Linked DNA regions of Xenopus tropicalis. The protein of the gene in region 1 purifies or fractionates together with the protein of each later gene. This does not show direct contact. Links are inferred from orthologs where the notes say so. Each region holds a gene or a part of one and is shown in the gene's direction. Other genes may lie near its edges. The genes, in order: tjp1 and ocln.

Evidence for each region.
Region 2: the proteins of tjp1 (region 1) and ocln purify together in Homo sapiens (affinity purification with western blotting; 4 studies listed by BioGRID and IntAct, with this or other methods). This does not show direct contact. The link is inferred for Xenopus tropicalis from reciprocal best matches to the Homo sapiens genes TJP1 and OCLN.

What each region holds. Positions count from the first base shown.
Region 1 is NC_030679.2:97,712,738-97,716,568, reverse strand, and holds part of tjp1 (tight junction protein ZO-1), read left to right. Parts: intron 1-13; coding exon 14-233; intron 234-1,087; coding exon 1,088-1,272; intron 1,273-1,471; coding exon 1,472-1,567; intron 1,568-2,071; coding exon 2,072-2,154; intron 2,155-2,774; coding exon 2,775-2,985; intron 2,986-3,817; coding exon 3,818-3,831. UniProt on the Homo sapiens protein: TJP1, TJP2, and TJP3 are closely related scaffolding proteins that link tight junction (TJ) transmembrane proteins such as claudins, junctional adhesion molecules, and occludin to the actin cytoskeleton.
Region 2 is NC_030677.2:182,434,419-182,437,460, forward strand, and holds part of ocln (occludin), read left to right. Parts: intron 1-731; coding exon 732-903; intron 904-1,828; coding exon 1,829-1,870; intron 1,871-3,042. UniProt on the Homo sapiens protein: May play a role in the formation and regulation of the tight junction (TJ) paracellular permeability barrier.

The sequences.
Region 1 (3,831 bases):
TTTGTGTTTCCAGTGTATCGCCGCATTGTTGAGTCAGATGTTGGGGATTCATTTTATATAAGAACTCACTTTGAATATGAGAAAGAGTCACCATACGGGCTAAGTTTCAACAAAGGAGAGGTCTTTCGAGTTGTGGATACTCTTTACAATGGCAAACTAGGGTCATGGTTGGCCATTAGAATTGGTAGAAATCACAAGGAGGTGGAAAGAGGGATAATCCCCAACAAGAATAGGTAAGTGGTTACCAGTTTTACAGGTTTCTTTTGTATTTTTGTGTACTTTAACTGTATGGATAGTAGAGCTGTTTGGTTATGCTTGTGTGTTGGGTCAAAGTGGATTCTTTAAAGGGGACATACAGCATACATTTTCACAATGCAGTGAAACCATGTAAAATAGAAGAAGGAAGCGTGTTTGTTTTAATATTATGGGTCAAATACATCTGAATCAGCTTGATAACTGTGCTGGACCTGCCCCTTTTACAACTTTCCGGTCTCAGAGTCTTTGGTGTACATCTTATCATCACCTTCTGTCTCAGTAACTGAGCCACATCCATTAAGGGAGGACTGGGCATGCAGAGGTGGGCAGCGCTATAACACTCAATCCTTCGCTGTAGACCGCGCTCCCCCCTGCCTGCGTTACTCCCACAGATAGGACCTGCCAGCTCTGCTCATTTTCCCATCCCTTCCCTAACCTGCTCATTCTTCTCCCTCTCTGCCCTGCATGTTTCTCCCTCTCTGCCCTGCCCCACCTCCTTTACCATCCCCGCACTGCTAGTTCCTCACCCTCCCTGCCCTGATATGACTAAAAAAAAAAGTTCTATAAATGAAATGTAATTGTATATATTTCTTTTCTGGAGCAATGTATGTGTAGCAGGTCCATACAATAAATGAGCAGTTGCATGCTGTAATAATTTTTAGGTACTTTTGGAAGTACCTGTATCTGTTTAAAATAGCAGAGGCCTACCTGTGCCCTCCAGCTCCAAGGAGATGCTGTGTAAATGCAGATGAACAGGAGATAAAGGTGTTACAAGTGCCTTGGGTTAGTCATCATACAAAAGTAGATGTGTTGTTGGGCTGATTTTTTGCAGGGCTGAGCAACTGGCTAGTGTACAGTACACTCTTCCTAAAACTGCTGGTGGAGATCGTGCAGACTTCTGGAGATTCCGTGGCCTTCGTAGTTCCAAGCGAAATCTACGGAAAAGCAGAGAGGATCTTTCTGCGCAACCTGTTCAAACAAAGTTCCCTGCTTATGAGAGAGTCGTCTTGAGAGAAGGTTGGCTTTTTTTCATCTTAAGCCATAATTTGTTTTTATATTATTGTTCCACACATAATTATTTTGAGGCCCAGTCTTTTGAATTGATGACTTTTATTTTGTATGTATGTGATTTTATAGTGTAATAGCCATATTTATCTGTACGTTTCTATTCCATCCTTCTTTTATTTTCCCTCTGACCAGAAATTATTTCTTGCAGCTGGATTTCTCAGGCCTGTGGTTATTTTTGGCCCTATTGCTGACGTTGCAAGAGAAAAGTTGGCAAGAGAAGAACCAGATATTTATGAAGTAGCAAGTAAGTTAATTATTATGCTCATGGCTGTTTTACAGCTTCATGTTAATTGTTTATATTACTATAAATTTAATAAACCATATATTTTTTTAGTGGTTATTACTCAACCCATTATTCTTTTATTGCAAAGGCTTTCTAAATCCATTCCTTAGTTTCCAAGTTTATAAAAAATGAACACTAACACACCAGAGCAAAGTTAAAAGGTAGAATAATGGATGGAGGGAACTGGCTTTTTTAATGCCTCCTGTTTGTCACACACAGATGATTAATTTATAGATGTCTGAAACAATTACAGTTTAAGTAGTTTTTTATCTGTGCATCCATCCAGCTGCCTCTTGTTTACGCATACCAATTCACTGTTGGTGAAAAATTACATGTAGTAATGAGACCTGCTCCATATTTATTTAATGAATAGTCAGAACCTTCAGGCCTGATTTCTTATGTTAAACATAGATAATATAAACTCGTTTTATAGAAGTTGTTATTTAATTTAATGTTTTTCTTCAGGAAGTGAACCCAGAGATGCAGGTACTGACCAGCGAAGTTCTGGAATTATCCGCCTTCATACTATTAAACAGATTATTGATAGGGTGAGTGATGTACTGAAAAATTATATAAGATAATTTCATGCATGCAGATAATAATCTGTTTGGTGTCAGAATTTTGCACAGTACTGCATAACATATGATATTTAACTTAAACAACATAGCACAAAACTGGTATTGGCTTTTAACATCAGATAATAACATGGAAATTGTGGCCATATTAGATAAAGGCTTGTGGCAATAACTAAGGAGAAGATGACGCTCTCCTTAATAAATTTCAGCCCTTAGGTCCTTTTGTTGTTTGTCCTAGGCATAAGTCTGGGGAGTTTATCATGTCCAATTTATCATATTCTCTTTCTTAGTAGCAGGACTTTTAAATGTGTTCACATAATGGCCTCTGCATAAAACTGTTGCTGCACTGGATTTAGGAATGTACTGTCCCTATGTCACTATTCTTAGTCATGAACATAAAAGAATGGAATCCGTTTCTTTTTGAAAGGTTAGAGCCATAGCAGCTATAATTCACTTGCACAAAATGGTCTGTATTTCAAGTGACTGATTACAAGTAGTTCTACCATAAAAATCAAATTGGTGCATTTATTTCAGTGCAAGCAAAATCAGAGACTTGTTCTAAATTTCAGTTACTTATTTTTCATTTTCTACAGGATAAGCATGCTCTTCTAGATGTGACTCCAAATGCTGTGGACCGCTTAAATTATGCACAATGGTATCCGATAGTAGTGTTTCTTAACCCAGACTCTAAACAAGGTGTGAAAACAATGAGAATGAGGTTATGCCCAGAATCACGCAAAAGTGCCAGGAAACTATATGAACGTTCACACAAACTACGCAAAAACAATCACCATCTTTTCACAAGTAAGTTTAGAGGAAGTTCAGTTTAAACTAGAGTAGAAATAGTTGGATTGTCAGAATTATTTTTTTTGTATCAAATTATAACATACTGCATATTTAAAGAGAAAATGATATCACAGAAAATTATATTGGTGCATAGGCAGGCATCTCAGTGTATTGTGCCTGATTCTAAGCTTTTAGACAGAGCCACCACTACACAGCAGAAATGCTTTCGAATAAGCTATTGTTTCTCCTGCTTATTGTAATTGGAGTAGACTTGGCTGAGCGGACTTGGATTTTGACTATTGAGTGTTATTCTTATATCTACCATTTTTAGCAATACGGGTGTCAGGGCGCTGCTATATCTCTACCTTCCCATTGTTCTGCTGATCAGCTGCTTTTTTTATATTTTGTTAAATCTAGAAAAAAACTTTGCTCTTTTAAATAGATTTCAGTGCATAATTCTGCTAGAGCAGCACTATTTCTTATGCATTTGAATAGTTTTAAAGGCTCAGCCTTTACGTATTTGACTTATAAGGGTATGTACGCATTATTTTTTTCAAGGAAGGTTTGTGGTCTTTTGAATATCTAGCAAATCAACGCATATACTTTGTTGTAGCTGCAGGTATTACAGCTTGAATGCCTTAGCTACACAAAACACAACAGGATGTATTTATCTGTGTTAGACACAGAAACAAGCATTTGGGAACCTGTGGTCATGCAAGGGAACATAAATTGAAAATGATAAGATAAAGTTGCGCCAGATATGAAAAATTACACCAATTTTTAGTCTAGAGTGGCAGTCAAATACATGTATTCGGTAATTTGTTTGACTTATATGAATCTTGTTTTACAGCTACAATAAATCTC
Region 2 (3,042 bases), on another chromosome or scaffold:
AAGGGCCAAGTATCTGCCCCTCCACCCACATCTGCAGTCTCATGTGTCTGCACTCAGAGCACATGTGAATTTTGACCCCAAAATCCATGTTTATCTGATGAGAATCGGCCCCGTGAGGCCTTAGTGAGATAGTATGAAGCACTTCATGCATTATTCATAGACTTTATTCTAGACCCTATTTTCCCCCAGGCATGCCGACTCTCTGCCCCACCAGTATTAAATCGTATAAGGCGTCGCCTTCCCTGCCGATTCAGCAGCTTATCTGCCCATGTATGGGGACCCCCATTCGCCTACCCAACTGATAGCTGCCCAAAAATCATTCAAACAACTTTAGACCAGTCATTTTACTATTAAGGTCCCCATACATGTGAAGATTCGCTCGCTTGCCGAGATCGCCAAGCGAGCGGATCTTCACACGATATCAGGGGAACGTGTAGGCCCCAGGGCCAAACGATCGAATTATATTGGCGGCAATGGGGCAGTTGGTTCGGGGGCCGCATCAACAAGCTCATGCGGTCCCAGATCCAACTAGATTTTTTTAACCTGCCCGATCGATATCTGGCCAATTTCAGGACAGATATCGGTCGGGAAGGCCCGTCGATTAGCTGCCGAATCGGTCTAAGTGACTGATATCGGCAGCTAGAATCGGCCCGTGTATGGGGACCTTTAGTCTTTTTGGAATTGGCAGGTTATATCACCTAATGCACTATCTTTCTTGCACTTTTATATAGTGAGTACCCACCCATCACTTCAGACCAGCAACGACAGCAGTACAAGCAGGAGTTTGCCAGTGATCTGCAGGAATACAAAGGGCTGCAAGCAGAACTTGATGAGATTTCAAAATCCCTGTCCCAGATGGATAAAGAACTGGACAACCATCCGGAAAATAGTGAAGCGTATAAGGTCAGTTATTTAGTGCATCAGACTTTTAAAGGTAGCATTGTGTGTGAAGGTGCTTGGTTAGTATCATCCTGTGCATTGTACGTGGTTATTCCATTTTTATCTAGATCCCTAAACAATCTGTTTTTCATTCTTTTGGTCGTTTATCACTGGAGTAATTTGGTTTGCGCTGGCACACACTTATGATTTATTTTAAGGAGGCAGGAGTCACGAGTAGGCAGGAAAGGTTAAAGAGGGTGTAACTCTAGTATCAAATGTATAATAAAAGCAAATGAAAGCCCAACAACTTTTTATTACATAGTTACTAATAAATGTAAATGCAACTTAAAGCATTATCTGACTATCCATTGCTGTTCTCTCCACTGTTGGTTCTGACTACATGTAGCAGTATTCTCTCTCCTCCATCTTGCCGACTTCTAGGAACTGGGTTTGTAGTCCAACACAGCAATACAGAGAGCAGCAAAAATACTTTTTTTCATAACACATACAAATAACTTCAAGTACATCTGAATAAATTTAAAGCATACATAAAAAGCTACTTATTTTACTTTACCTTTCATTTGTTTAATGGGGAACTGTGAAAATGAAAATTTGAGCTTCGTCATGGAAATAAGAAGCATTCTAAATACAATCAATAAAAAAATAGTTTCTGAAATAGTTATTGTTCACTAAGCCCTTTCAAGCAAATCTGTCTTTCCTCATCCATGAGTAGGAATCAGATTTTGATTGGCAGGTCAAACACTTTAGTGTGTGCCTCCTTGGCCTTGCTTTTGTATTTGGGTTTGCAATCCTCTTCATCTGTACGAAATTTGCAAAATGAAAATAGATCCTATCCTGAATTTCTTATTCTGCCTTGTGCTTTGTGTGCTAAGACTGAATGTCGTTATGAGGATGTTATAAATTGTTATTGTGCTGTGTCTTTTTGCAGAGCATTGCAGATGAATACAATCAGCTTAAGGAAGTCAAAACGGTAAGTTGTTCAGTCCTTGGGGAAGAGGTTTTATATGCAAGCTGTATACTTCTAAGCTGTTAAATTCCTGACGTTAAGAAAAAGAAAAAATATATCTTGTTTACCAAAACTCCCAACACTTCTGGCTTTGTTTTACTGCCTTTTGTGCAGATCTAAGTTGCTGCTTTTCCAGGAAAATGTTACCAGCCTTCAGGGAGGGGAAGCAGGGAATGGGCTGATTGAGGATCTGTATGTGATGGGAGTGAGGATGGAAAGTTAGGTAGAGGGTGGGTAGGGTAGAAGAGCAGTTCAGGAGGGTGAGGTACGATAAAGTAATTTCAGATTTACTGGTTAGTGCATTGCCAAGGTAATACCAGCCCTATCTGGCGAAATACAGGCCAGATGGAAACCTTAGTAGTGGACAGTGCTTGGTACTCTATTGCCTGGGAGAGTAGCTCACTATTACTTAAAGATGCTATTCAAGAACAGCACTGCTTTCTAGCTGTCATGGCTGAAAACCAACCAAAAGCCAGGGAACAGGGTTAATTCCCTGCTTAATCCAATACAGGACAAGATGAGTTAAAGCTGCAAGCAAATTTGCAGCCCTGTAGGTAACCAATTGTAAACAATGAACTATTCCTGAGAGGGCATTGGGTAAGTTTAAGAGCCAATAAGCCCCTTCCATGCAAAAAAATCAATTTAGCAAAAAAAAAAACAGTACAAGGAAGATGTATTGGTACAGTGAGTAATCAGACAATGATTGTTAAGGTCCAATAACTTTTTTTATAAAAAAAAAAGCTCACGATAGCCCTCAATGGGTCAATTTAGAATAATGTGGAATATTTCACTGATAACTATGCTACAATAATTGGAGAGCTTCTGTGGCAGACTATTCTGGCCATCAGACACTCCCTGAAAGGAACATATCAAGTTTGTTGCTTCAAAAGCAGTGAATAATTTTCTTGCTTTATAGTGAGTATATTAAGAGGATAAAGTAGTTTTAATAACATAACTCTAAGCATTTTGCTATCTGCCACTGCACCCATGCTTTCTTTGCAGAAAAAATGTACATAAAAGGGGGCAAATAGAGAACTGCATGTGATTTTTCTCTTGTATTAGAAGCCCTATCTGTAAAGCTTGCTTATGTTTGGATTCAGGGATTATTTTGCATAGCCAATAAAATACATGAATAC